Linked DNA regions of Anolis sagrei. The protein of the gene in region 1 interacts with the protein of each later gene in a pairwise test. Links are inferred from orthologs where the notes say so. Each region holds a gene or a part of one and is shown in the gene's direction. Other genes may lie near its edges.

What was found.
Region 2: the proteins of VIM (region 1) and CRMP1 interact in binary tests that used the Homo sapiens proteins (3 or more experiments, as listed by UniProt). The link is inferred for Anolis sagrei from reciprocal best matches to the Homo sapiens genes VIM and CRMP1.
Region 3: the proteins of VIM (region 1) and KIAA0408 interact in binary tests that used the Homo sapiens proteins (3 or more experiments, as listed by UniProt). The link is inferred for Anolis sagrei from reciprocal best matches to the Homo sapiens genes VIM and KIAA0408.
Region 4: the proteins of VIM (region 1) and ESS2 interact in a two-hybrid assay, tested with the Homo sapiens proteins (2 studies listed by BioGRID and IntAct). The link is inferred for Anolis sagrei from reciprocal best matches to the Homo sapiens genes VIM and ESS2.

Annotation. Positions count from the first base shown.
Region 1 is NC_090026.1:105,844,438-105,852,021, forward strand, and holds the start of VIM (vimentin), read left to right. Parts: upstream 1-4,231; 5' UTR 4,232-4,317; coding exon 4,318-4,892; intron 4,893-7,584. UniProt on the Homo sapiens protein: Vimentins are class-III intermediate filaments found in various non-epithelial cells, especially mesenchymal cells. Vimentin is attached to the nucleus, endoplasmic reticulum, and mitochondria, either laterally or terminally.
Region 2 is NC_090025.1:104,770,356-104,778,017, reverse strand, and holds the start of CRMP1 (dihydropyrimidinase-related protein 1), read left to right. Parts: upstream 1-4,349; 5' UTR 4,350-4,449; coding exon 4,450-4,815; intron 4,816-7,662.
Region 3 is NC_090021.1:84,695,608-84,703,170, forward strand, and holds the start of KIAA0408 (uncharacterized protein KIAA0408 homolog), read left to right. Parts: upstream 1-4,164; 5' UTR 4,165-4,185; intron 4,186-4,581; 5' UTR 4,582-4,734; intron 4,735-7,252; 5' UTR 7,253-7,492; coding exon 7,493-7,563.
Region 4 is NC_090034.1:33,136,914-33,145,100, reverse strand, and holds the start of ESS2 (splicing factor ESS-2 homolog), read left to right. Parts: upstream 1-4,946; 5' UTR 4,947-5,058; coding exon 5,059-5,184; intron 5,185-8,187. Other genes in the region: GSC2 (homeobox protein goosecoid-2), read left to right, coding at 160-407, 1,491-1,598. UniProt on the Homo sapiens protein: May be involved in pre-mRNA splicing.

The DNA of each region.
Region 1 (7,584 bases):
TAGGCAAGTCATACTCCCTCAGCTTTTTGAGGAAGGCAAGGACAAACCTCCTCGGAATAAATTTCAGAAAGAAAACCCCAGAATAGGGTGATGAGTCCCTAGCACACATACCAACAAGAAACTTCCTATGGAACTCAGTGGATTGACTCCCTGACCAATGACCACATCTATTAGCAGAACTGATTTTGAAAGATGTAAGTCAGCAAGTGTATTTGCAGATGAAATTTGTGCTGTGCAACCGCTTTGCATCATGAACAGGATACTTCCTCTTTTTTTCTCCATTTCTTATGAGAAATAAAAAAAAAGATCAAGAAAAAACAGGATAGCTGCAGAAAGCCTTTGGGCCTAAATCTGTCCACCTGAGAACACGCTGGATGCATCTACTACACTATAAAATGAATACAGTTTGATGCAACATTAACTGTCACAGCTCAATGCTATGGAATCATTGCAGTTGTAGTTTTAGAGCCTTTCCACACAGCCACATAACCCTGAATATCAAGGCAGAATAACACACAATATGTACTTTGAGCTGGGTTATCTGAGTCCACACAGCCACATATTCCAGTTCAAAGAAGATAATGTGGAATTTTATTCAATGTGTGGAAGGGGCCTTAGAAACTCTTAAGCAGATAACCTGCGATTTTATTCAGCTGTGTGGAAGGGGCCTTAGAAGCCCTTCAGCCCTTTCTGTCAAAAGAGTGCAGGTACCTCAACAAACTACAGATCCCAGGATTCCATAGCACTGAGCCATGACAGGTAAAGATCTGTCAAGATGAATTAGTTTTACAATGTAGATCTGCCACAGCTTCCTTCCCCTTTCTGAGGAAGTTATTGCCTTATTATTATTATTATTAAAAAGCAGCACAATATACAAGTGTCTCCAGCAGAGTCAGGCGGAGGCAAGAGGCAAGTCAGCCAAGCAAACAGGACTCCTCTCTGGCATCAGATAAACTCCCATGTGGACATGGCTGATAAGCAAGCATGCCTTTCTTGTGCATCTCAAAGAACATGAACTTGGCCCTGAGGAGCTGGAAATAGCGGGTACACCTACACTGCAAAATAAATGCAGTTTGACACCACTTGAATGGCTATGTCTCAGTGTTACACAATCTTGGAAGCTGTAGTTAGGTTTAAGGTTAGGGTTTGGTTTAGGGTTAGGATTAGAGTTAAGGGTTAGGGTAAGGGTTAGGATTAGAGTTAAGGGTTAAGGTAAAGTTTAGGGTTTGGGTTAGGATCAGGGTTAAGAAGGTTAAGCTTAGAGTTAGGTTTAGGTTTAAGGGTTAGGGTTAGGTTTAGGGTTAGGATTAGAGTTAAGGGTAAGGGTTAGGATTAGAGTTAAGGGTTAAGGTAAGGTTTAGGGTTTGGGTTAGGATCAGGGTTAAGGGTTAGAGTTAGAGTTAGGTTTAGGGTTTTACCATGAAAGAACGATGAACTATGAATATCTGTGTTCCGTTCTGTGTTGCGCAAATAGCGCTCCCGAAGGAGCGAAGCGGAAACAGCGTAACGCTCTGAGCTTCCGGACCCAGCTTTCATACTATTACCGGGATTTTATTCAGTTGTGTGGAAGGGGCCTTAGTCGTTGATTTGGGAGGATGCTTGTGGGGCTGTTTTCTTTACTATTGTCCAAGTGCTTGGTCGTTTTTGTAAGTGCGCTTGCTGTTGGTGTGCGGATATTAATGAAGAATCTCTTCTCAAACACCCAGCCCAACTTTGTTGCAAGGGCGAAGAGGAGGAGGAAGAGGAGGGGGAGAAAGTGCCTCCTTCTAACCCAAGGGGAGGGGGGGAGGGGAGGTGATTGACGGCGGGGAAAAGCCCTGCGAGGGGAAAGGCGGAGGAGGGGACGGTGGCTGCAGCGGTCGGACAAGGGCCAGACTCCTGATTGATGGAGGAGGAGGAGGAGCAAAGTAGAAGCAGAGGAGAGAAGGAAAGAAATCGGGGGAGCCAAGGGTGGAGCTCATTGTTACCAACGTTGCCGGACATGGCGAGGAAAGCCGCCCCGAAAACGAAAAGTGAACCAAGACACTGAAAAGTTTGCGAGGCGCGCCATGGCGGCAGATAGAGCGGAGTCTTGAGGGGGAGCCCTGGAAATGTTGGGCGCCTCTACACCATGCATGGGCCAACTTGGGCCCTCCCTCCAGGTGTTTTGGACTTCAACTCCCACCATTCGTAATAGTCTCAGGCCCCTTCCTTTCCCCCCTCAGCCGCTTCTTCTAATAAATATCGAAGCCCAATTCACTTCCTCTCCGAAGTCCTTCCCAACTTGCAGAAAAGCTTTCCCATAAACCAAAGAAGCCAGTTTAAAGGGTCTCTCCTCTCCAGGCGAAACTGGGTCAGCCTTGGCTAGAAAGAGAGTTAAAGATTCTTTCGTCTCTGAGGCCCTTTCTACACGGCTCAATATAATCCCACATTATCTGCTTTGAAGTATACGGCAGTATGGACTCGGATAACCCAGTTCAAAGCTGATACTGTGGGATATAGGGCTGTGTGGAAGGACCCTGAGGGAAAGGGAGTGGTGTTACTAATGGTGGTTCTTCTCTTTGGGCTGCAGTGCTAAACTGACTCAAACTTCGTCAGAAAGCAGAGTGCTGTCACTGAGCTGGGACTGAGGCCCCTTCCACACAGCTGAATAAAATCCCACATTTTCTGCTTTGAACTGGAATATATAGCAATGTGGACTCCAATTACCCAGTTCAAACATGATATTGTAGGACTTTCTAATTTGATATTCTGGGTTATATGGCTCTATGAAAGGGCCATAAATGGAGTCACTAATGGGTTTTGTTTTTTACACCTAAGTAGATGCTTGTTCTAGACTGGTTCTTTACTCTATCCCAGGATCTAAACCCAGATGATCTTTTTGTCCCAGATAATTTGGCAGTGGAGACTCATTTAATCCAGTTCTAAGCAGATTATCTGTGGCCCCTTCCACATTAAAACCTCATGTTATTTGCTTTGAATTGGAATATATGGCTGTGTAGACTCAGATAACCATCCACACACCTATTTAACCCAGAATATCAAGCCAGAAAATCCTACAATATCTGCTTTGAACTGGGTTATCCGAGTCCACACTGTCATATATCCCAGTTCAAAGCAGAAAATGTGGGGTTTAATTTAGCTGTGTGGAAGGGGCCCCAGTTCAAGCAGATATTGTGGGGATTTTCTGCCTTGATATTCTGGGTTACGAGTCCACACTGCCATATATTCCAGGGCCCTTCCACACAGCCCTATATCCCAGAATATCAAGGCCAAAAATCCCACATTATCTGCGTGTGGATTCAGATAACCCAGAGCCCTTCCACACAGCCATATAACCCTGGCAGAAAATCCCACAATATACCCCAGTTCAAAGCAAATAATGAGGGATTTTACTCAGCTGTGTGGAAGGGGCCCCAGTTCAAAGCAAATATTGTTCGATTTTCTGCCTTGAAAATCCAACAATTTTCACCACAAATGAAGAGAGATATTGACAAGCTGGAATGTGTCCAGAGGAGAGCGACTAAAATGATCAAGGGTCTGGAGAACAAGCCCTATGAGGAGCGGCTTAAAGAGCTGGGCATGTTTAGCTTGAAGAAGAGAAGGCTGAGAGTAGACATGATAGCCATGTATAAATATGTGAGAGGAAGTCATAGGGAGCAAGTTTGTTTTCCGCTGCTCTGGAGACTAGGCTTCAAACTACAAGAAGGGAGATTCCACCTGAACATTAGGAAGAACTTCCTGACTGTGAGAGCTGTTCAGCAGTGGAACTCTCTGCCCCGGAGTGTGGTGGAGGCTCCTTCTTTAGAGGCTTTTAAACAGAGGCTGGATGGCCATCTGTCAGGGGTGCTTTGAATGCAGTTTTCCTGCTTCTTGGCAGGGGCTTGGACTGGATGGCCCATGAGATCCCTTCCAACTCTATGATTCTATGATATACTGGGTTATGTGGCTGTGTGGAAAGGTCCTGAGATGGATGAGATCCTTGGATACAGGGCAGCCTAAAACACTAGTCTTGGGCCTCTGGGCTGGGTTGGGACTGCGAGGGAAGGAAGGAAGGGAGAGGAGGAGGAGGAGGGGCCTCTCATCATCCCTCCCCCCCTCTTTCCCCCCTCCCTTCAGGGGTCCCAAAGGCCCCGTGAGTCATCCTTGGCCGGCTTTGGGGCCTCCTGATTGGCTCTCCGGGCGCTTGTTGGACGGGAGGGGCGTGCCCGGGGTATAAAAGGCGCTCCTCCTCGGCCCGCAGCGCCTTTCTTGCCTTGCGCACCTGCAGCAGAAGCCTTCCACGCCGTCTCCTCCTCCTCCTCCTCCACTCCACACACTTTTGGGATTACAACAACCATGAGCACCACGAGCAGCCAGCGCACCTCGTCTTACCGCCGCATGTTCGGAGGCTCCGGCCGGTCCAGCATGGGGGGTGGTGGAGGCGGCGGCGGCACCCGCTACGTCTCCTCTTCCTCGACGCGCTACTCCCTGGGCAGCGCCATCCGGCCCAGCAGCGTGCGCCTGGTCTCCTCGGCGCCCGGCGGCGGGATCTACGCCTCCAAGTCGGTGCGCTTGCGGTCCAGCATGCCCGCGATGCGCCACTTGGGCGACGCCGGCGTGGACTTCTCCCTGGCCGACGCCATCAACACGGAGTTCAAGGCCAACCGCACCAACGAGAAGGCCGAGCTGCAGGAGCTCAACGACCGCTTCGCCAACTACATCGACAAGGTGCGCTTCCTGGAGCAGCAGAACAAGATCCTGCTGGCGGAGCTGGAGCAGCTCAAGGGCAAAGGCACCTCCCGCCTGGGAGACCTCTACGAGGAGGAGATGCGCGAGCTCCGCCGCCAGGTCGACCAGCTCACCAACGACAAGGCGCGCGTGGAAGTGGAGCGGGACAACCTCAGCGACGACATCCTGCGCCTCCGGGAGAAGTAAGCGCGCGACGGGCAGGGCGGGCAGGGCAGGGCAGGGCGCATGCGCGGGGGAGAGGCCAGCAGAGGGCTGGTGGGTTTGTGGGACAGGTGTCAAGTCTAAGGGCCCTTCCACACACACAGCCCTATATCCCAGAATATCATGGTAGTATGGACTCATAACTCAGTTCAAGGCAGATATTGTGGGATTTTCTGCCTTGATACTCTGTGTGGAAGGACCCTAAATTGGAGGGAGAGGTGAATCTGCTCTTTCGGACTAATGTCACAACTTAGTTTTACTTGTATACCACTTTTCCATTGATACACAATGTACAATTACGAATATAATACTACTACTAATAATAATAGGTAAAGGTTGTCACCAGACATTAAGTCCAGTCATGTCGGACTCTGGGGGTTGGTGCTCATCTCCATTTCTAAGCCGAAGAGCTGCCGTTGTCCATAGACACCTCCAAGGTCATGTGGCCGGCATGACTGCATGGAGCATTGTTACCTTCCTGCCAGACAGGCCCCTAGGATTTTGATTCGGGGGGGGGGGGCTGAGTTTGATTCAGGGGGGGGGCTGCGTCTGAGTGAAAGAGGGTCTACCCTAGCAAACCTTTTGTATCGTTACCCCAATACCCCCATGCATATGGGATATATTGAGTATGGTGATCAGATCATGATATGAATAAACATAACAGTTTAAATAATGCACCAGTAAGGCCTTTTCGCAGACCATCATGAAAATTTGGGGGGGGGGGGGCTGAAGCCCCCAAGCCCCCCCCCCCCCGGCTACATGCCTGATGCCAGAGCAGTGTCTATTAATCTACTCACATCTGTTAGGTTGGCAGAAGCTGGGGCTGACAGTGGAAGCTCATGCCACTCCCTGGATTTGAACCTGCAGCCTTTCGGTCAACAAGCTCAGCATCTTAGCGGTTTAACACACTGCACCACCAGGGGCTCCCAGTAATAATAATAATATGATACTATAATTATATATTTATAATATATGTAATATTACTAATAATATTACAATATAATGTTACAGTACAATATAGTAATATTTAATACTGATATTGTACTATGCGAATAATATATATTGTATATATATATGTCTTGTAAGCTGCTCTGATTCCCCTTGGGGTGAGAAGGGCGGCATATAAATGTTGTAAACAAACAACAAGCAACAATTACAGACCTGGAAAATAAACATTAAAAATGGAACTTAACAAAGAATAGGCCTGGGCAAAGTTTGGTCCTCCAGGTATTTTGGACTCCAACTCCTACCATTCCTAACAGTCTCAGGCCCCTTCCTTTTCCCCCTCAGCCACTTAAGCGGCTGAGGGAGAAAAGGAAAGGGCCTGAGGCTGCTAGGAATGGTGGGAGTTGGAGTCCAAAATACCTGGAGGGAGGGCCCAAGTTTGTCCATGCAAACTAGAGACCTTTGTAAGATTTACAACTCCCAGCATTGAGCCATAGCAGTCCAAACTATTTCAGCACAACTAGAGAATGAATCCACTTTAAATCTGGTTTCTGCCTCCTGCAGAATTCTGGGGTTTGTAGTTTAGTAAGGCTGTTAAATGTTCCTCCCTAAACTACAAACCCCAGAACTCTGTAGGAAGCAGAAACTGGATTTAAAGTGGATTCGTTCTCTAGTGTGATGAGCACTCTTTAGCCATCTTGAATCCCTATATTTGAAGGAAGGTGGGATAAGAATAAAGTAAATGAATAAGTAAGCTTGTTGGATAGGGTGAAAGGGCTGAGGTAAGGATAATTTCAAAGCATAGGCACCACCTCACTGGGGCCCCTTCTACATAGCTGAATAAACCCCACATTATTTGCTTTGAACTGTGATATATGGCAGTGTGGACTCACGTAACCCAGTCCAAAGCAGATATTGTGGGTTATCTGAGTCCACACTCAGATAATGTGGGATTTTCTGCCTTGATATTCTGGGTTATATGGATGTGTGGAAGGGCCCTGGGAGTCCTGCAGAAGACAGGCAGAACTTCTCTCCTTCCTCCAACACTCAGATCCTAAGCATTGATAAACCTGAACCTAGCAGGTTTTAACTAGGGCCCCTTCCACACAGCTGAATAAAATCCCACATTATTTGCTTTGAACTGGAATATATGACTGTGGACTCAGGCAACCTAGTTCAAAGCAGATATTGTGGGATTTTCTGCCTTGATATTCTCTTGATATGGCTGTGTGGAAGGGCTCTAGAAGACACTGATGGGTATCTCAACACTGTAAAATGAATGCAGTCTGACACCGGGTTGTTGTAAGTTTTTTGGGCTGTATGGTCATGTTCCAGACCAGAAGCATTCTCTCCTGACATTTTGCCTGCATCTATGACAGGCATCCCCAGAGGTATGACATCATTTTAACTCTGGCATGGAAAGCTACTGGCAAAGTAAAACTACAACTCTCAGAATTCACATTATTGAGCCATGGCAAAGTGGTGGCAAACTGCATTAATTCTAATGTAGAAATACCCCCTCCCCCATTGGGTGGGGCCATCTTCCCTTCTCAGAATTAGAAGAGGCATTTCCTTGAAGAATGTGGGTATAGCAAGAGTTTGCAGAGGAGAAACCTCTCTTCCTGTGGTCTAGGTCTCCTATGCTCCTATTTTGAGCAGCTAGTTGGCCACAACTTGAGCTTTTCTGATGGTGGCAAATTAATTTTTGGAGGCAACAACTCTCAGGGC
Region 2 (7,662 bases), on another chromosome or scaffold:
GAGGCATGGAAGGGGCAGATTTGCATCAAACACATTGTTTGGATTACTGCCATTTCACAGATCCTCAGGCACCTTCTACACTGCCATGTAGAATCCAGATTATCTGCTTTGACCTGGATTATATGACAGTGTAAGGTAAAGGTTTCCCTTTGACATTAAATCCTACCTTATACCCTGGATCCCCTTCCTGATATCCTACACTGCCCTATCTCCCAGTGTTTTTAAAATTTTTAATCCTTGAATCTGGCCCTGCCCACTGTGATCATTGTTAGTGTTGAATGTTTTGATTTTATACTGTTGTGTTGCTTATTTACATTGGTTCTGCATTTTATGTTATTTTATTTCTTGATTTTTGTTGTGTTTTTGTGTTATATTGTGTTTACTGTATTGATGGGTGTGGCCTCAAGTAAGCCGCTCTGAGTCCCCTTGGGGAGATGGTGGCGGGGTACAAATAAAGTTTATTATTTTACTAGCCGTCCCCTGCAACACGTTGTTGTGGCCCACATGTGGGTTCTGTGTGGGAGGTCTGGCCCAATTCTATCGTTGGTGGGGTTCAAAATGCTTTGTGACTGTAGGTGGACTATAAATCCCAGCAACTACAACTCCCAGATGTCAAGATTCGATTTCCTCCAAACTCCACCAGTGTTCACATTTGGGCATATTAAGTATTCTTGTAGAGTTTGGCCCAGATCCATCGTTGTTTGAGTCCACAGTGATCTCTGGATGTAGGTGAACTACAACTCCAAAACCAAAAGACACTGCCCACCAAACCCTTCCAGTATTTTCTGTTGGTCATGGGAGAACTGTGTGTCAAGTTTAGTTCAGTTCCATTGTTAGTGGGGTTCAGAATGTTCTTTGATTATAGGCGAACTATAAATCCCAGCAACTACAACTCCCAAATGACAAAAATTATTTTTTTCGAGTGAAGGACATACATTGGGTTGTAAGGTGTCTTGTGTCCAAATTTAGTGTCAATTCATCCAGTGGTTTTTGAGTTCTGTTAATCCCACAAATGAACATTACATTTTTATTTATATAGATTATTAAGTCTAGTTGTGTACAACTCTGGGGTGGTGCTCATCTCCATTTCTAAGGTGAGGAGCTGGCATTGTTCTGCATGGTGCGCCTTTACCTTCCTGCTGGAGCGATACCTACTGATTTATTCACATTTGCATGTTTTGGAACTGCTAGGTTGGCAGAAACTGGAGCTAACAGCAGGAGCTCACCCCCCACTCCCCAGATTTGAACTACCAACCTTTCAGTCAGCAAGTTCAGCAGCTCAGTGATATAACCTGCTGTGCCACTGGGGGCTCCATATGGCAGTGTTGACTCACACAGGATATGGCATTGTAGACTCATATAATCCAGCTCAAAGCAGATAATGTGGATGGTCTGATTTAATAATCTGGATTATATACCCGTGTAGATAGGGCCTGAGTCTCTCCCTAGCTTTGTCTTTGGTTAATTCGCTACTTGTGTTGTATATGAGATTTGATGGAGAGACTAAGGATCTGAGAGATGAACAAATAGGGGTGCTGCTGCTGTCACCTCAAAAGCAGAAATGGGTATCCATGGCAAGAAAGAGAGGGACTGAGTATCTGATCAATGAATGAGCTTCTGCCTCCAAAGTGGAAGCAGAAGGCTGGCAACAAAACGTTTGAGGATCTGAGATCTCTTTTGTTCTTGTGTTTATTTATATAAATCACTCTCATTCTTCTCGGGGTCTTTTGACTTCTTTGTGGGCCCTTCCACCCAGAATATCAAGGCAGAATATCCCACAATATCTGCTTTGAACTGGGTTATCTGAGTCCACACTGCCATCTATTCCAGAATGTGAGATTTTATTCAGCTGTGTGGAAAGGGCCCTAGCTGCAGCCTCTCTTGCCTGGTGCTGAATGGACAGCTCCTTTCCTTACAAAATTAAAAGGGAATCAGCAAGAGAAGCTGGTCTTTTCCACCAAGGTCCCTTCCATTCTGCATTATAAAATCCATATTATCTACTTTGAACTGGATTATATAGCAGTGTAGTCATATAATCCAGATCAAAGCAGATAGTGTGGGTTGCATATGGCAGTGTAGATAGAAATAACCAGACAAACAGTGGTTCCCAACCTTGTTTGTTTAGGTTTTTTTTTTTTGGCCTACCGGAATTCTGGGAGTTGCAGTCCAAAACACTGGTGGTGCAGCGGGTTAAACCGCTGAGCTGCTAAACTTGCTTATCAAAAGGTTGGTAGTTTGGTGGTTCAAACTACAACGAAGGAGATTCCATCTGAACATTAGGAAGAACTTCCTGACTGTGAGAGCTGTTCAGCAGTGGAACTCTCTGCCCCGGAGTGTGGTGGAGGATCCTTCTTTGGAAGCTTTTAAACAGAGGCCAGATGGCCATCTGTTGGGGGTGCTTTGAATGCAATTTTCCTGCTTTTTGGCAGGGGGTTGGACTGGATGGCCCATGAGGTCTCTTCCAACTCTATTCTGCTCTGGTTAGACCACACCTGGAATATTGTGTCCAATTCTGGGCACCACAATTCAAGAGAGATATTGACAAGCTGGAATGTGTCCAGAGGAGGGCGACTAAAATGATCAAGGGTCTGGAGAACAAGCCCTATGAGGAGCGGCTTAAGGAGCTGGGCATGTTTAGCCTGAAGAAGAGAAGGCTGAGAGGAGATATGATAGCCATGTATAAATATGTGAGAGGAAGACACAGGGAGGTGGGAGCAAGCTTGTTTTCTGCTTCCCTGGAAACTAGGACGCAGTGAAACAAAGGCTTCAAACTACAAGAAAGGAGATTCCATCTGAACATGAGGAAGAACTTCCTGACTGTGAGAGCCGTTCAGCAGTGGAACTCTCTGCCCCGGAGTATGGTGGAGGCTCCTTCTTTGGAAGCTTTTAAACAGAGGCTGGATGGCCATCTGTCAGGGGTGCTTTGAATGCAATATTCCTGCTTCTTGGCAGGGGGTTGGACTGGATGGCCCATGAGGTCTCTTCCAACTCTTTGATTCTATGATTCTATGAGAGGCGGATGAGCTCCCTCTATCAGCTCCAGCTCCTCATGCGGGGACATGAGAGAAGCCTCCCTCAAGGATGATAAAAACATCAAAATCATCCAGGCGTTCCCTGGGCAACGTCCTTGCAGACGGCCAATTCTCTCACAACAGAAGCGACTTGCTCCTGACACGACAAAAAAAAAAACAACAAAAACCTATGCCCGGCTCCCCAGCCAGAGAGAGAAGGCGGGGCTCTGTGACCCGCCAAGAAAATCCAACAAATGCTACGTTCAGCAGACCTCATTACCTCTGAGGATGCTTGCCATAGATGCAGGCGAAACGTCAGGAGAGAATGCCTCTAGACCATGGCCATATAGCCCGAAAAAACCTACAACAACCCAGTGATTCCGGCCATGAAAGCCTTCGAAATTCTCATGGTGGTTTGCGAAAAGGCCTTACTGGTGCATTATTTAAACTGTTATGTTTATTCATATCATGATCTGATCACCATACTCAATATATCCCATATGCATGGGGGTATTGGGGTAATGATGCAAAAGGTTTGCTGGGGTAGACCCTCTTTCACTCAACCCCCCCCCCCCCGAAACGAAATCCTGGCTACAGGCCCGTAGCCAGGATTTCGTTTCGGGGGGGGGGGGCTGATTTTTTTTCAGGGGGGTTTCTGGGGGGGCTGAGTTTCGGGGGGGGGCTGAGTCTGAGTGAAAGAGGGTCTAGCCTAGCAAATCTTTTGTATCATTACCCCAACACCCCCATGCATATGGGATATATTGAGTATGGTGATCAGATCATGATATGAATAAACATAACAGTTTAAATTATGCAACAGTAAGGCCTTTTCGCGAACCACCATGAGAATTTCGGGGGGGGGGGGCTGAAGCCTCCCAAGCCCCCCCCCCCCCTCCCGCTACATGCCTGCCTGGCTACGCTCCTGAGATCAATAGCTACTACTTTTGCGGGAAGGTAACAGCACTCTATGCAGTCATGCTGGCCACATGACCTTGGAGGTGTCTATAGACAACGCCGGCTCTTCGGTTTAGAAATGGAGATGAGCACCAACTCCCAGAGTTGGACAGTACTGGGCTTTTACCTATGCCCGGCTCCCCAGCCAGAGAGAGGAGAAGGAGGGGCTCTGTGACCCCGCCCCTTCCTTCCTGCCTGCCTGCTCCTCTTTCCCACCTGCCTGGCTGGGGAGCCGCCCTTCGAGGCCGGCCGCCCACCCCGCCTGCTGGGGGCGCTGCAGGAGCCCCGCCCCCCTCCGCCGCCTTCCCATTGGCCCGCCTCTGTCCTGATCACGCCCCCTCATCCGCCGCGTCCCTTTGTACTTTCTCTCACGTGACTCGCGAGCGGCGCGAGGCAGGCAAGGCGGGAGGCGCGCGCCCCCTCAAGCCCGGCCGCGGCCCCGTCTGTCGCGCGCCAGGCGGAGCCAGTCAGCCAGCCAGGCAGCATGGCCGAGCGGAAGCGGGCTTGGAACACGGAGGCCGACCTGCCGGTGTACCTGGCCCGCCCGGGCACGACGGCGCAGACGCCGCGGCAGAAGTACGGCGGGATGTTCGCGGCGGTGGAGGGCGCCTACGAGAACAAGACCATCGACTTCGAGGCCTACAGCGTGGGCCAGAAGGGCTCGCGCACCCCGCGCAGCGGCAGCCGGCACGACCTGCTGGACGGCGCCGGCGGGGACAACGGCAGCGAGGCGCCCAGCGACGCCAGCGAGGTCTCCGGCTCCGTCGTCAGCTCGCCCGGCGCCGAGCGCGACCACCGGGGGACGCCCGGCGTGGCCATCCGCTGCCCGCCCGGCGCGGACAATGGCAAGGTACGCGGCGCGAGGAGGAGGGGGCGGGGCCGGCAGGGGGGGAGGAATGCGCAGCGCCAGGCCCCTACGGTGGCCCAGCAGGGTCCCTGGAAGGCGCCCCCACTTCGCCTGCCAGGGCTGCTCCAGAGGGGAGGGAAGCCTACCCAGGGATAAGGGCCTGGCCTTCCTGCAGCATCCCTTCCCAGCAAGGGTTGGAAACCACTTCGGGGGGAACCAACTGCTTGGTTTGAGGCCCAGTCTTTGGATGGTTTCTAAAGCAGGCTGGACAGCTCCTCTGGGGAGATTCTAGTTCCAGCCCTCCATGTCATTTTATGTGACCTCCAGAGGCTTGGTGGGTTAAACCCCTGTGCAGGGGCGGCTCGTCCATTACGCAAAGTAAGCGGTCGCAGAACACTTTTTTTTGCCAGGGGCGCAGATGCGCCTCTGTAAATGCCCCTTGACCACCACTTGAGGAGCGCCCCCTCAGCTCACAACACCCCTAGCAGTCCGGGGGGAGCCTCGGCTTTCTTGCCTCGCTGCTGGGCGATCCTCTTCCCAAAGGGGCCGGGCCCTTGAGCCTCGCCTAGCCCCTCTCGTTCCTGCTCCACCCGGCCACCGGGTGCGCGAGCAGAGCTGGCGCTCAATCGTTCTCCACGTTCGATCCCTTCCCCATGACCAGCTCCCTTTCCCGATCCCCTGGCGCTCCACTCACCTCCTCTCCTCTCCCCAATCCGCGGGTGGTCCAGGGGGCGGAGCTGCCGCGCCTGGCCCACTTCGGGTCCAGAGGCGTGTCTGAAGACCCCAGCATGCGCACCAAAAGTCACCTCTTCTCCTGACTTTCTCTTCAGCCATTGGGACCAAGAGAGAGAGAGAGAGAGAGAGAGACCCTCCGGCTGGAGGTATCTCCCACCTCCGCTCCCTCCTTTGTTTTTGTGCCTACCTTCAGGAAAGGTGAGCATCTCCACCTCTCTCTCTCTCGCTCTCTCTTGGTCCCAATGGCTGAGGAGAAAGTCAGGAGAAGAGGTGAATTTAGGTGCACACGCCGGGGGCTTCAGGCATGCCTCCGGACCCAAAGCGGGCCAGGCAAGGGAGCAAGTGCGGCAAGTGTAGTTACTGGGATGTATAGTTCACCTACAATCAAAGAGCATTCTGAACCCCACCAATGATGGAATTGAACCAAATATGGCACACAGAACTCCCACAACGAACAGAAAATATATATCAATGATTGGTTGGGGGGGGGGGGCGGCAAAATACTGTTTGCTTACCGTTGAAAATTAGCTAGGGCCGCCTCTGCCCCTGTGCCAGCAGGACTGAAGACCATCAGGTCGCAGGTTCAAATCTGGTGTAAGCATGGATGAGCTCCCTCTATCAGCTCCACCTCCCCATTGTGGGGACATGAGAGAAGCCTCCCACAAGGATTGTAACACATCAAAAGATCCGGGCGTCCCCTGGGCAACGTCCTTGCAGACGGCCATTTGTCTCACACCAGAAGCGACTTGCATTTTCTCAAGTCACTCCTGACACGACCAAAACAAACCAACAAAAAAAACGGGTTGCTGTGAGTTTTCCGGGGTGACTGGCTGTGTTCCAGAAGCATTCTATTCTGAAGGGAGAGATAAACTTCTTAAATAAATAAATAAATAAATAAATTTGACACTTGATTTGGACACAGTACACCTATCAGGCCAACGAATGGCTGGATGGCTCTCTGTCAGGTGTACTTTGATTGTGCTTTACCGTCATGCTGTTGGGTGCAATCCAGCCCTTCATGTGATTTTTGTGTCCTCCAGAGGCTAGACTATATCTCCTGTATCCCTCATAGAATCATAGAATAATAAAGTTGTGTTGTTGAAGTATTTCATGGCTGGAATCTCTGGGTTGCTGTGAGTTTTCCGGGCTGTATGGCCATGTTCCAGACACATTCTCTCCTGACATTTAACCCATATCTATGGCTGGTATCCTCAGAGGTTGAGGGGTCTGTTGGAAAGTAGGCAAGTGGGGTTTATATTTCTGTGGAATAATGTCCAGAGTGGGAGAAAGAACTCTTGTCTGCTTGAGGCTTCCTTGATTAGCACTTGATTAGCAGAGCCATGTATTCTGTTGGGCTGCAGTTCCCAGTATCCCCATACTGCGTGATGGATAATCAAAAGTGATGGGAGTTGCCATTCAGTAGCATCTAGAGACTGTTCTTTGGATGTTTTCAGAAGGGGACTGGACAGCTACCACCCTGGGGAGGCTCTAGCTCAGGCATGGGTAAGCTTCGGCCTTCCGGGTGTTTTGGACTTCAACTCCCATAATTCATAACAGCCTACCAACTGTTAGGAATTATGGGAGTTGAAGTCCAAAACACCTGAAGGGCCAAAGTTTGCCCATGCCCGCTCAAACTCATAAGTGTCAACCTCAAGGCCAGTGGGCCAAATCCCTCCCACCATGTACTTTTATGTGGACTACACCTCCTGTCTTCATCATTCGACATCATGACAACTGTGATGGGAATTGTGATGCAGTAATACCTGCTCTATTCAGTCAGGAGAGTGGGTTTTGCATTCAGATACAAGGCTTGTGTGTATGATGTCTGAGTTTAAAATATCCTTTCACCTTTCCCCAAACCAGAGCCACAAGTCCTGTTGGGTTACAATTCCCATTATCCCCAAAAGCGATGGGAGTTGTTGTTCAATAACATCTGGGATCCAAACTAGGTAAAAACTAAAAAGCACTGACCACTATGTAAAAACATTGTAGTCTGTACCCAAGGAGTCTCCTGAGAATGGCCCTTTGAAGGCAACCATGAGGATGATGTGGCCCTCCATGAAAAGTGATTTGCATCATTTGAACTACCAGTGAGGCCCTTTAGCTATGATTAAT
Region 3 (7,563 bases), on another chromosome or scaffold:
GTTCTCTCTCTAGGTACATATATACAAATGGTCCCAAGCATTTCAGATAAAGAACACTCAACTAGTAATAGTTTCAGCATTTCAATGGCTTCTTCAAATATCAGACTGAAACTACTATTGAGCTAAGCCACCACTAACAATGCAGCATTTATATATTTGATTTTTTTATAAAAAAAATCATAAACTTCATGAGAACTCATGGCCTTGGTCATCCTTGCTTTTAAAAATATGCTTTTTATAATGACCCAGAATTCTTGTTTAATGAGACAGAAAATGCTTCTGAAGACTCAGAGTCGTTGTTCAATGTGCTCCCTTACATTCTTACTTGGTGGTTGGAAGAGCGCACTCTCAAGGAGGTCGTAAAAGAAAAGACAATGAGGGGAGGTACTGAGGCTACACAGTGGCCACAGAAACGATGAGATCTGCTTCAGAACACCTGCCATAGATTCCCTGTACCTGTATGTAGACAGTACTCAAGGTCAGCATCTGCTCAAAGCATTATAGTCCTACTTGGGTATTCACTGAGTGAAGAATCTACATGGACATAGAAGGGCTGATGGGTCCTGCTCAGGGCTCCACATATGTTGTTGAATAACTTCTGCATAGTGGACCCTTTACTGCCTTTAGATGTTATTTGTGCAATATAGATCCAAATTCATCAAGTTAGATCTCTCTCTTCTGTTTATCTATATCTATCTGCTTCTCTGTGTGTGTGTGTGTGTGTGTGTGTGTGTGTGTGTAGAGCACCCAGAATCCCCAGCCACTCCTTATTTGATGGCATTGAAAGCAAAAAAGTAATCTTTCTGCACTATCCAGTTCCCCCATTACATCCCCCATTCTGTGGGCATGGTTCAAAGTGCAATCCTGCTTTATTATTCATGCCAGAAAGAGCCCTGCTTCATTTGTGTTGCTTCTTCATTCTAGAAACACCAGAAGAAGGTTTATTTGTTAATAATCACAGTGCAGAGTCAAAATAACTTTAAAACACAGAAAGTATAAAATGGCTCACTTTTAAGTATCTAAACTTGCCCTTTGAATCATGTTGCGATAGCCGAGAACAGGCAGCTAGCAGAAACTTGGAATATTGTACATTTTGTGTGTGCTCCAAGTGACACCCACCCACCATCATGAGGTGGGGTCACTGCATTCCACTGAAGCTGCAGCTGTCGAATAGTCTTCAAAGGCAGTCATATGCAGAATTCATCACACACGGGCATGAATATGGATTGTTAGGCTGCATTCTTGTTAAAGAGAGTCGTTTTGCCAGATGGAGTTGGACATTTGTCAAGTTCTCCATAAAAAGAAGCCTTATTTAAAAAGGGATTATTCGTCTGTTTTTATTTGATTCATTGTTATTATTTTGAGGGGAGTGATCAGCTATGAATTAATTGAAGGTTGCTGCCACAACTGTGATTCTGGAAATTATATGTGAGTACTCCAGCAAAAAAATTCTTTGCTCAGGGTAAAAAGGAAAGAAAGAAAGAGAATTGTCTTTTGTAAAAGAAATGTGATCCTGACTATTGTAGTTTTAGTATTTACACAGACAGCTTTGGCAAGGTTTAAAACTGGGCTCCACTATAAAACCTAAAAATGTCCTGGACATGAAGTTGTTTACATAAAATATGAGAAGATATAGAGTTACAGGGCTGGGGATTGGAAGAGACTTCTAAAACCATCCTCCTTGTTGCTGACGTCACATAGAAACCAGCTGCTGGGATGATGCTAAACAGAACTGTTTTTCAGTTTGCAAAAAGTTGCAAAGTTGATCTAATAAACTTCCAAGGGCTGTCTTGATTGAGAAGCTGATGATTTTCCTTTCTTTGAAGGATCAGTAATTTCAGAACTGGAAGTCTTTTTCCCACTTCACTGTTCTCACTGCAACTTTAGATTTGGACTGACGTACACACAGGGGGATTCTTCTACTGCAAAAGGTAGGTCTATACTTTTTTATTTGTTTTAAGAATTATTGTTCTTCTTCCCCTCATTTGAAAAAAATGGCAATATTTTCAGAATGTGATGGACTTAAATGCTCTGTTCAAAGGGTTATTTAGACATCTGTCTACTTCCCACCCCCACCTTTGATTTGAATGTAGGTCAGGAATCATTTCAGTTAGAAATGGATTTGGTTTTTCAAAAAAAGGCAGCATGATTTTTTCCTAAGCAATGAGTGAGAGAATTAACAGCATGTATTTAAAATGCATTTTATTTTATCTTATTCACCAGAAGAGGATTTTAGATGCATGCACATAGTCACATAGAGAAACCTGCTGCTGCCGTTAGATCAAAACTTAACGGTTTTGTAATACGTGCTCAAAATTCGGCACAGTTGAATGACAGAGATGCCTATGGATCAAAAGAAGCCATGCTTATCTTAAGCACTGTCCTGTGCATCCACTTTTGTTCCTCTCCATTAAAACATAACACCTCCTTGACTGATGTCACTCCCTGTTATTTTTAGTAGATGCTTTCCATTCCACAGAAGGGTATTTATTATAAACTATTTGGACTTATCAACACATGTTTGCATGCAGGGGGAATGAGATTTAAAATTTTGTGTTGTGGCATGCAGAATTCTTTTAAAAAGAAGACTGGTTTGTTTCAGAGAAGGGGGTGTCCAGCGGATATAGATGGCATTGATTGTTCACATAGTTTTACTGCTGTATTGAGCATCTGACCTTGGCTAGGACACTGTGGAGACGTGTCAGGGCAGCAAAAGGACAGATGCCCTGCTGTTTTCTAAGGCAATCCAAAACCGCAGGCAGTATCTAGAGTTTTGACACTGGAATGGAACATTCCAGAATAATTGAGACTGATCATATTCACCCCAGCACCTTTCTGAGCGTTAGATAAGCACTTTGCAGACCCACTGGACCAATTTACATATCATTTGAAATTTTGAGGTGCCTGCAGGTGAGGGGAAGAAAGCTTTTCCACTGGGTTTGAGATGTATTTTCTTGTAAAAGGCAAAGGTTTCCTATTTACATGCTGAAGAATTGGTTTTATATATATTGAGGGTTACTTGTGTAAGAAAAAGGGAATGAGATTTTCAAGACTTTTTGTCTTCCCCTGGCCACTGTGTGTACTAGAGAAAAGGAAATTCAGTTTTATTCTCCTAGGGAAGAGAGGATTTATTTGACATGAGACAGGGATGAAGAACGGAGGTCCTTGGAGGCATGTCAGCACCATAATACCAGCTTGAGCAAAATTAAGCAGTGACCCAGTTCTCAATGTGTAAACATCAGCTGGAGCTTTAGTGTACACAGAAACAATTAACAAGAAAATGTGGCCAAACCATGAGCAACCATGCAAACAAACAAAGGGAACTTGAATGAAAGGGAAATGTATCCTCATGATGTTACTTGGCTGGGACATCTGACAGGGTCTCAGGAAGTTGTACCTTTGCTTTACAGATGTGATTTTTCAGTGAATACTTTTCTAAAGCATGTTAGTGGTTGAAAGGTAGTAATTTGCAAAAGTGCATTGTTGTGATTAATTCAGTTTGTGATTACTGCCCTGCATCCCATTTTATAGAGGAAAAGCTCAGTTTCATAAAGTGACTTGCTACAGATTGAGCACAAGGGACTTCTGGGTCCAAGCCAATTCTTTAACTACCTGGCTATACATTCTCTTCTGCATGAGTTGCATCACAATCTGGCTGATAGGTGCTCATCTACTAGGAATATTTAAGTAAAGGGGAGCTTGCCCTGAGTAATGTGGCCCCAAGCTCCCTTTCAGCCATCTTACTCTACGAGCATTATCTGTAATGTAATGACTCCAGCTGTGCTCTTCCAGAACTTGATTGCATTTGGATTATCTCCAGTGTGGCTTTGTAAATGTCGTTTGGTGGGAAACAGATTGCAGATTGCAAAGCCTGGTTTACCATATAATGATTTTTAAAGCGCTGTGTGCTTTATTCTCCATTAACATAGTAGGCTCTTTTGTAAGTGCACTGTTTGTATGAGAGAAAGGCACATTAAGGAGAAAGGTATTATTTCCATGCTCGTGCTTTAGCAGTTGTACATTTTCTGCTTCTCATTGAACGATTGCATTAAACAGATGTTCTGTCTTTTCTTATTTGATCCCTTTACACAGAAGTCTCGAAAGAGATTAATCTTTGCATTGTTTAAGCCAAATGGGCGAAGAGAGGAGCTGCTCTTTTAATGCCTCTGATGTCTGTTTGAATGGGTCAGCTTAAAAGTCAATTTAATTCCCTTCCCAAAATACTGTATTTTTTAAAAAAATGTAACAACAAACCCAATAATTAGGGCAAACTTTTGCAAATGTTGAAATGGCTGCACATGCTCATTTTGAAATAGCATTTATACTATGAAAAAGCTTTCACTGCAGTGGAAACTTTAAGTAAGAAATTGTTTTTGAGCAACAGTCACTGTAGTCCCTGGCTGGAAGTGATGGAATCTTCATCGGCTGGCTGCTTGCTACAAGAAATCCAGGCCCTTTTTCCTTAAACAATCATTCCCTCTTGGCCTCATTTCTGAAAAATGCCGTGTTGTCTTTGAATAGCTCTGTTAACTCTCAGTGAAGTGACTCTGATTTGTAATAAAGATGTTCTATTTTTTCCAGCCAGGTATAAACAGAAATACATTTGTCTAATCCAAAGCCTTTAGAAGCCAAACTGAGAAGGGAGGAAAGACCAAACCATGTGGAGTTTCAGAGTCCAGTGACAGACCAAGATGAGATCTGGAGAAAGAAGGCGGTGATTGCTGTGTTGGGCAGGTATGCTATTCATTGACTTCCATTGGTTATGAAAGAATAATGTGGAATTTGTCCAGTTTTTTCATACTTATTACAGTACTTTTAAGAATTGAATCTCATGAAGCAACCTTGGAGGTAAAGGGACTTATCTGGTTTTGGAAAGGCTAGGAAAAAGCCCTGGCCTAAATCCTGAAGAATAATTTCTGTCAGTCAGAGTTGGCAATACTGGACTAGAGAATCAAGAGGCAAATCAGGGATGGCAAAAGTGTGACTCATGGGTGGAATAAAGCCCCAGAATAGTTTTTATTGTCCCAAGGCATATCAATTGTGTATTTTAAAAATATAACTTTTTGTTACACTTAAATGCATCCAGACACTCTTTGCGGAGCAGTTTCACCATGTTTATGGCTCGGCCATTATTGGTACAAGTGACTTGGAGCTGACTTCTGAATTATTTCTTAATGTAAACAAGAGCTTCACACCCACATTTCCATTCTTGGAGAGGAAAAGGCTTAGAGGGCAATTTTTTTTCAGCGGGGTGCATCCCTCTAAGGCAGTGGTTCTCAACCTGTGGGTCCCCAGGTGTTTTGGCCTACAAAACTGGCTGGGATCCCAGAGATCCCAGCCAGTTTACCAGCTGTTAGTATTTCTGGGAGTTGAAGGCCAAAATATCTGGGGACCCACAAGTTGAGAACCACTGCTCTAAGGTCTCCAGGGAAGCCAGTGCAGCCCCCTAAATCCCAATTGTTTTGCACCTCTGGTCTTATTCAACATAGGTCCCTTTCTCTGTCCTTATTTTCCATATATCCAAAAAAAGGGATGAAATAAAAGAAAGAGGAGAAGAAAAAAGGAGAAAGAACTCATATGGGTGGCATAAGACACACTACTATTTGAGAATGATATTTAAGAACAGCCCCATGTCTAATGATAAAAATGATTTTAAAAACTTATATTTTACATAATAACCAACACTTCGTGACAGTTTTTAGATTCAGCAATAAAGAAGAAATGTAATTAGTAAAAAAAATCAAATAAAGTATATATTTAAAATATTTCCCTCTTCAGTCACTGAAAATAGCTGATTTTTTACCGAGTTTGAAAAAGTTACTTTGAGGGATGGGTGGAAGAGAATACCTTCCATAATCTAGCTTCTTACATGGCCATACTTGCTGGGGGATTCAGTGAGCTGATAACCAAATATAAATGTCCCAAGTTCTAGCATACAGAAGCAATGCTGGACTAGATGGAATTTGTTTTTCCCCTTTGCAGGGTATTTCTTAAACAATAGTGAATATTTAGAAACACCTAAGGCAAATACATTAAACCCTTTGGAAGTCCCGATTTTCCACTTCTGCTTCATACATTCAATACATGTGAGTGGACTATTGGGATTCATGAAAAAGGATAGTTTTCTGAAACTGAATTCAGCCCACTACTGTTGTGGAGTAGCTTGTGTGTGTGTCTATATTTGCTTATTGGAAAAGGGGGATGAACAGAATGGTTGCGTCAGGGTAAAATCACCTTCATTAGCCAGCCTGCTATCTTTAGATTCACTGAGGCTGCCTTGTCAACAAATGAAACAAGCAGGACGTGAGCAAAGCCTTAGGACTTGCAAAGGTGTCAGGGCTTGAGTTTCCCTGTCAGGCGGTTCAGGAAGGACAGAGATGGCTCAGCAATCTGCAGCAGCCTTGCACTACTTTACACAAACATGATCCCAACGACATCCTTAAACCTGGACACGTACATCTTATTTGGATGAATATACTCTACCTATTCATTATATGTATGTTATTTCTTTATATGCCTGTTCTTTTTCTGGATTGTTTAGCAAAATCATGCCACTTACACTTTAATGTTTCAATTACAGTGTTAAAAAAGCAAATGTAATGTATGCAAGTGTATCAATTGTGCGTGAATTCTCATTTATAAAGCATTTATAAGATCTATATGCATATGTTTGTGGTTAATGTATGCTTCTTCTAGCATCCATAAAATCAATTGTTTCTTCATTGTTAAACCATGTCTTAATGTTAGTAATTAATTTATTCATTATCACATTCCAGAGGTTTTTTGTGCCATTCCTCTACAGGTGGTTTTTTAATCACTTTCCCTTTTATACGACAAGTATCGTTGCAGCTAGTTATTAATTATTAACAGTATCCAGTTCTTCATTAATTAAATTGCACAGATCACATTATGCAGGTCCGGTCTTTGAAAGTATGTAGCATATCTTTCCAAAACAGTCTGTAATATAACATACCAGCATCATTGGTGTATCATTTTCAACATTTTACGCCCTGGAAGTAGCACTGTACATTTTAAAATTAATCTTGTGAGCACACATTATGAATGCGACATCAAACGTTAATTTTGAAACATTACTTTTTTAATGTTTAATGTAATGCCATGAAAGTCTTCTACAATACATTACCTTTTTTAAATTACATGGTCTAAAAGTGCAATGAAAGAAATGTATACAGTGAGATTGAAGGGGGTGCTGCATTAGATTTTGAATTTCCCACTTTTTATTTTTCCACAGATCTGTTGCATTGGGACTTTTAAAGAAAAGCAATTATCTGTTTAAAAACCTACTGCAATCTGCAACCAATCTTTAGTGCAAAGAACATTGCACTGACCTCGCTGTTTTTCTTGTGGCTCCTCCCCACCGCCCCAACAAAAAGGTTGCTGCCTGTGCCGAGTACCATTTCTCCAGGTGTAAAACACATTCCCATTCCAAGGAACTTTCAGAGTATTTTTTCTCAGTTGAACCACTGCAACTATGGCCCTACAAGCCCATCTGGAGAGCTCAACTGAGAGGGACTGGAATAAAGAGAAGATGGAATTACTGGA
Region 4 (8,187 bases), on another chromosome or scaffold:
TGTGCAAGTATAGGCTGTGGTTCCACTTTAACTGCTATGGTTTCATCCTACGGAATGTGGGGATTTGCATTTTAGGGAGGGGCATTTGAAACAGCCCCATTTCTCTCTCCTCCCACCTTGGTCCTCAAAGCAACCCAAACAACTTTCTTTTCCCAGCAGACACCAGGTTTCCCTGGCCCATGCGGCTCTTCCACCCGGTTGGCAGGCCATGCAAGAGTGTGCATGGGAGTCAGAGCGAACTGCAAACCTTTCACCAGATCCAGCGGCGAACCCGCCGGCACCGGACCATCTTCACGGAAGATCAGCTGCAGGCGCTGGAGGCCCTCTTCCACCAAAACCAGTATCCCGATGTCATTACCAGAGAGCATCTGGCCAACCGGATCCATCTGAAAGAAGAGAGAGTTGAGGTGAGGCTTTGTCTTGCCCCGAGCAATGATGGGCAGAAAGTATCAAATCTATATCTATAAATAAATCAAAGTATGTTTGTTTGTTTGTTCCACAAAGGCTCCTCCATGGCTTGATAGATTTGGACCACACTTGGCACACAGACCCGTCATTACCCAACTTAAAATACCAGTGAAGTTCAGAAACACATCCCTTTTGACTTTTGCCTTATTTTTAAAATGACTTACCTTGCTGGGCCATGAGACTCAACCAGCAGAGCCCAGAAGCAACCACAAGAGGGCACTAGAGTATAGCCAGAGGATCTACAGGGGAAGCAAGCCAGAGGGGGAGGGAAGAAAGGAAAAGAAGGGGGAAAGGAAGGAAAGGAGGGAAAGAGGGAGGGAAAGGAAAGGAAGGAATGGGGGGGGGGGAAGGAATGAAGGGAAGGAAGGGAAGAAAGAGAAGAAGAAAAGGGAAAGCAAGGAAAGAAAGAAGGGACGAAGGACAGGAGGGAAAAAAGAAAAAGAAGGGAATGGAAAGAACAAAAGAGGAAGGTGTATGAGGGAAAGCAATAGAAGAAAGAATGGATGAAGGAGAGGAGAGAAGAAAGAAAAAGAAGGAAACAGAAAGAAAGAAAGGAAGGAAGAAAGAAAGAAAGAAAGAAAGAAAGAGGTGTATGAGGGAAAGTGAGGGAAGAAGCTATTCCTGAGCCAAAAAGAAATGCAAACCCAGTCAATGCCGGGTATATACGTCAATAGGGGAATAAATAACCACAGAAATCTACTGAATAAAACCAGAGGCTGGAAGTAGTTTGTTCATGGCAACTAGTTACTTGGAATTAGTTCCTTTCCCAAATAAACAAAGGCATTAACTGCATTCCCTGAAAACTGTAACTTAAAAGAACAGCTTCACTTTTTGTGTCCATTCACACTGCTGTCCAGATTTAGAAGGCCACCCTTATTACTCCTTGACCGTCCTACTTGCTCTACTGCTTTTAAAAGGTCTTGGGTTATCTCCCCATTTCCCCCCTTTGTCCTTCTCTTTTTTCATTTGCAGCAAACTGTGGGTAAACGGTCCTTTTCCTCCCCTTTTCCACCCCTCTGCAGGTTTGGTTCAAAAACCGCCGCGCCAAATGGCGGCACCAGAAGAGAGCCTCGGTCTCTGCCCTCGGCCTTCAAGGCCCCAAGAAGCCCTCGGAGGGAAGCTGCTCATGAAGAGGAGTGCCGTTTCACCAGTCGAATGCGGGCAGCCCTTTTATTTCTGCGCATAATGCTGGGTTAGAGTTAGGGGGGAAAGAAGACAGATAGTTGGCCTTTTCACAAATACGGGTACGGCCCCTGTATCTGTGGATCAATACTCTTGTTTTCATTTCAGTCTGTCCTCTTTAGGCATTTCTTAGTTCCTTCAGTGCAACTCTGTGGTATCCTTGTCTCAGAGGTCCTTCATGTCATGAGATTTTGCCATTACCCACTGTTTCACGTATCCACGCAAAGTCCAGGAAGGTATCCCATTGCATATCCAGGAGTCATACGGTATTAGCACCATGTTTCCACTTGAACTGGGTCACTGTGGAATCCTGGGGTTCATAGTTCCGTGCGGCGCTCCAGCTCTCTTAGCAGGCCCCAGGATTCCATAGGAGGCTGCCATGGCAGTGAAAGCAGAATCATAGCACTTGAATTGTGTTGGATGAAAGGGGAGTATGTAATAAAATGTAATAAAAGTGGCCAAAATGGTAAATATCTCAATTTCAGCATCTAGATCCTACTGAAGAGCTTTATGTGTTTCCTAAAAAATGCCCCATTAAGAATCCTCGCCTGTATAAAGTGGTCTCCTAAATTGTACCTTGTTCTGCTCTTTATTTGTTGCCATGAATGTATTCATCCGTGCCAAAGGAATTACAGATTAAGCCACGGAAAGGCACCGATGGCACGCAAACATTGCTGTTTTTCATTCATAAGCCTCCCATGTTTTCTTAGAGTTTGAGGGTGCATCCACACTGTTGAATGAATGCAGATTAATGCTACTTCAACTGCCATAGGAGATTGCTTTGGAACCATGGGAGTTGTAGTTTGGCAAGACAAACGACCACTCCTTAGAGCCCTTTGCATTGAACTGTGGCAGCTCAAATGGCCTCAAACTGCACTCATTTGATAATGTAGATACAGTAGAAGCCTCCAGAGACTTGGGGCCAAAGGACCACCGACCCTCCATATCCATGGATTCGGTATCCATAGGTTCAATCAGCCATGGCTTGGAAATATTTTAAAAATAATCTGAAAAGCAAAGCTTGATTTTGCCATTTTTATACAAGGGATGCTGTTGCATATGTTATGTAACAACGTTGGAAACATTTTCTGGTCCTGGTTTGAAAGTGTTATTTCCTGTTTAATTGTGAGGTCCTTACTTTGAAAGCAGTTGTTCTACTCCAGAAACTTTGTTTTTGGGCCACAAACTTTGAGACTCGATTAGAGATTCATTGAAAAACTATCGCAAAATGTGCTGCAGGATGATGTTCCTCTCACAACAGCAAAGTTGTGTCAGTTAGATAAACCTTTTCTATGTTTTTATTATAGAACCAATTAGGAAATGACATTTATAACCCAGGAACAAGAATAGTGTCACATAGTGTAATGGTGAAATCAAGCAATTTAAAGCAGTAGCAGATACTGAGATCCGGATTGTGGACAGGGAATCCCAATAGCACGGTACCGAGATCCATTAAGCGGATGACGGGTACAAGCAGCATGCCACCTGTGGATCTGTGCCTGCCGAGACTAAGAAGCTATAACCCAATGTTCCCCGATCAACAAATCTGACCAGTTGAAGAAGCCACCACAACATTTTATTCATTCTGGCCAGAAGGGATGCCAGCCAGTGGTATGCCACTCAAAGAAGCTGACATGTGTGACAAGAGTAAATCAGACATTTTTATACAGTTTGGTCTTTTGTTTTTCCCATGCACACCCAGCTGGAGCCGACCATCTGGGAAGATTCCCTCTGTGAGGCAGTGTTGCAACCCAGATCAGGAAACGAGACCATAAGATTAAATCCACCACACTTGACTGTGGGAAAAAACAATCCTTTTTTATTGATGAAAAATGGTTACAAAATGGAGGAAAATGCAAAGTCAAAATGCCACAGTAAAACTCAGCAGTCAGGAATATCTCTGAACTAGATCAGAATTCCAAAAGCAACACTATAAAAACCTGGAACCTGTTAGCATCTCACTAACCATACTTGGAAACTAGAAGCCTCTGGGAATGCAGGCTATGGGAAACGGGAACTCTGCCAAGGTAATGCCTCAGTCTAAACGATGCTTGATCTAACGAGACAGCCTGGGGGGAGACACTTAAAACTAAAGAAACTTTTTCGGGACATGCCTCCAGGCTTGGAAGCCTCCTTTTCCTTTAATCTACTTGACCTTCGCAGGCTCTGTGATTCACTCCAGCTAGTCTATATATAAAAATGCTCTGGCATAACGAGTACCTTCAAAACAAAAAAAACTATGGGGCCAAATGACCCCAAATTTGGCAACAAAACTCCTCACAATCCAAGGAGTGACCATCACTGAAAGAAAACCCCACAAAAACACCCTTAAATTCAAAAAAGGAAGAAGACAACACGCCTCCCGCCCCGCGCTGAGGACACAGAATGAGGGTTCTGAAGCAGGAGTAACACTAAGGCAAGGGATCAATGGGCAGAGGAGGAGGAGGAGGAGGAGGAGAGGGAGGAAAGAAAGGGGGGAAGGAAAAAAGAGGGAGGCGGGCCACACTCTGTGCACACACTCTGACTCTCTGTCTCCCACACACACACTCCCACAGCACAAGGGAAGGGCGAAGGTGCCATGATGGGGGTAATAGGGATACACGAAACTGACATGGCTTGGAAAGGAGCCCCAAAGACCATCCAGCCCAACCTCATTTGCCAGTAAAGGAAGACACCATCAAAGCTCTCATAACAGATGGCCAACCAGGGAGCCCTAAAGGCCATCCAGTCCAACCCCCTCCTTCCTTCCCTTTCTCCACTTCCCTTCCTTCTCCTTCATTTCTTTCCCTCCCTTCCCTCCTTCCTCCCTTCCTTTCCTTTTCTCCCTCCCTCCTCCCTCCCTTTCATTCCTTCCTTTTTCTCCTCCCCTCACTAGCTTCATCCTCTTTTATTCAATCTACAGTGTAGATGCAAAGTCACCCCTTCCACACTGCCATGTGAAATCCAGATTAACTACTTAGGACTGGATTATATTCATGCGGGGGGCTATTATCACTTTAAGAGACACAGGCACAACGGGAAGTTGTAATCACTCAACCTCGATCACGAACATCTTTCATATGTGATAAATAAGATCATAAGAATCACATTCTTGCCCGCGATCTGTCTCATTTCGTGTGGCATCCGTGCGACGCACGCGCAATTTGAATCTGAGGACCTCCCAAAGGAGCCCAGGCCCAAACCAACCCGGAAATCGGGGCGTGCGCCTCAGTCTCACCTTGATGTAGTTCTACGGTGCAGCGCTCGTGATGGCAAGCGACCAATCCGCGGGAGGCTTTGTCGCAAAGGCGAGCAAGCCGTGGGGAGCCACTTCCGGTTCCGTCCTTTCCGGAAGTGCCTGCGCACAGCGGCTTGATTTGGGACGGGGAGAGCTTGGTTTCTAGGGGTGACGACGAGGTGTAGCCGGCCATGGAGCAGCCTGGGGCCTTGGTGCCGGTCCAGACCGAGGCCCGCGCGGTCGTGGCGCTGAAGGAGGCCGGCCCAGGACCTCCCAAGAGCAGCAAGAGGGTCCTGGACGAAGACAGCTACATCCAGGTGAGCGGAGGAGGCCCAAGGGGCTCGCCTGAGGGACGCTACACCGCAGCTTGACACCACTTGTACAACTCTGGCCTTCTCTGCCCGAAGAGGGCTGCTGCCTCCCCAAATCACACATCCCAGGACCCCATGGCTTTTCAAGTGGTGTCAAAGTGGGTTAAATCTACAGTGTAGATGCGCTCCTAGGGACGGTTATAGTATTTATATCCCACTTTCTTCTCTTAATGAGACTCAGGGTCCTTCCAGACAGCCCTATATCCCAGAATACCAAGGCCGAAAATCCCATAATATCTGCTTTGAACTGGGTTGTCTGAGTCCACACTGCCATATATTCCAGTTCAAAGCAGATAATGTGGGATTTTCTGCCTTGTTATTCTGGGATATAGGTATGTCAGGAAAGGCCCTCAGGGCCCTTCCACACAGCCATGTAACCCAAAATATCAAGACAGATAATGCACAATTCTGGGATAGGTCTGTGTGGACACTTACTTAGGCGATCCCTCGCTTTCCGGGGATGATTGTCTTCCAATATTCTTGTGGGTCCGTATGTGGCTGTGGAGCCCTATTCTTGCTCTGCATCTTCTTCCGCAGTGAGGGCATTGGTTTCCAGGTGGAAGGCGGTCTCGGCCGGGGTTGGCTTGACGCGCCTTCCTCTTGGCACGTTTCTCTTTTTCACCCTCCACTCTTGCGTCCTCAAATTCTGCAGCACTGCTGGTTACAGCTGACCTCCAGCTGGAGTGCTCAAGGGCCAGGGCTTCCCAGTTCTCACTGTCTATGCCAGAGTTTTTAAGGTTGGCTTTGAGCCCATCTTTAAATCTCTTTTCCTGTCCTCCAACATTCCGTTTTCCATTCTTGAGTTCGGAGTAGAGCAGCTGCTTTGGGAGATGGTGGTCGGGCATCTGAACAACATGGCCGGTCCAACGGAGTTGGTGGCGGAGGACCATCGCTTCAGTGCCCTTCCACACAGCCATGTAACCCAAAATATCAAGACAGATAATCCACAATTCTGGGATAGGTCTGTGTGGAAGGGCCCCATGTAACATGATTTGTGGCTGAGTTTGAACCCGGATCTACCCAATTCCTCATCTGACCAACTGGTTGTGATGGCACTGTATAATCAGAGGTGGGAAGAAGCCAAGGGTAAGAGAGAGATTTGGCTGGGACTCTTTGTCATGCTTGATTGTGGCTGGAGGTGACATTTCAGATGACCAGTAGGGCAGTTTCTTTTATCCCTAGCCATGCTGGTTGAGATTAATGGACCCCAGAAAGGCTAGCTTGAAGTAAAGCAGAGCTTTCCTTTCCTACCATTGATGGCAGGAAGCTGGAAATGCTTTCTTTTAGCTAGGTTGGTTGGTTGGTGGATGGGCAGGTGGCATGCTGAAAGATTTTCAAAGCCCTTCTACACAACTCCATATCCCAGAATATCAAGGCAGAAAATCCCCGCTTTATCTGCTTTGAACTGGGTTATCTGAGTCCACACTGCCATATATTCCAGTTCAAAGCAGATAATGTGGGATTTTATTCAGCTGTATGGAAGGGGCCTCAGTCCACACTGCCATATCATCTAGTTCAACGTGGATTTTATACAGCTGTGTTGAAGCGCCCCCAAAATACCAAGGCAGATAATCCACAATACAGTAGAGTCTCGCTTATCCAACATAAACGGGCTGGCAGAACATTGGATAAGCCCAGTTTTATTGTGTCTTAGTGTATTGTTTATTGCTTGTTGTTTATATTGCTTTAATTGTTTTAATTTGCTTTAGGTTTTGTATTGTTATATTGTGTGTTGAGGCCTTGGCCTATATAAGCCGCATCGAGTCCTTTGGGAGATGCTAGCGGGGTACAAATAAAGTTTAATAATAATAATAATAATAATAATAATAAGCAAAAATGTTGGATAGTAAGGAAGGATTAGGGAAAAGCCTATAAAACATCAAATGATTTTACAAAAGCCTATAAAACATTATGATTTTATAAACTAAGCACCAGAACATCATGTTTTACAACAAATCGATAGAAAAAGCAGTTCAATGCATAGTAACATTATGTAGTGATTACTGTATTTACAAATTTAGCACCAAAACATCGCAATGTATTGAAACAGCTATGGATCCAGGCGGGAGGCAGACTGTGTTGGATAATACAGAATATTGGATGAGCGAAGGTTGGATAAACGAGACTCTATTGTATCTGCATTGACCGGGTTATCTGAGTCTACATTGCCTGGAGTGTGGTAGAGGCTCCTTCTTTGGAGGCTTTTAAACAGAGGCTGGATGGCCATCTGTCATGGGTGCTTTGAATGCGTTTTTCCTGCTTCTTGGACTGGGTTGGACTGGATAGCCCACAAGATCTCTTCCAATTCTATGATTCTATGTCATCCAGTTCAAGGTGGATTTCTGGGCCCTTCCACACAGCCATATAACCCATAACATCAAGGCAGATAGTCCACAATATCTGCTTTGAACCGATTTATCTGAGTCCACACTGCCATATCATCCAGTTCAATGTGGATTTTAGATAGCTGTGATGAAGGGGCTTCAGAGTGGCTCACCACTGAAAAAACAGAACAAATGGCCATTTCAGACCGACAACAGGGCAACATTTAAAATAGAACTATTACACTATGTGACACTATGATTTTTTGTTTCTGGGTTATAAATTGCATTTCCTAATTGGTTCTATCATAGGCAAAGGTTTTCTCCTGACGTTAAGTCTAGTTATGTCCGATTCTGGGGGTTGGTGCTCATCTCCATTTCTAGCCGGAGAGCCGGTGTTGTCCATAGACACCTCCAAGGTCATGTGGTCAGCATGACTTCATGCTTCTCTGTTACCTTCTCGCTGGAGCTGTACCTATTGATCTACTCACATTTGCATGTTTTCAAACTGCTAGGTTAGCAGAAGCTGGGGCTGACAGCGGGAGCTCACTCTGCTCCCTGGATTTGAACCACCAGCCTTTTGGTCAGCAAGTTCAGCAGCTCAGCTATTTAACCCACTCCACCACCA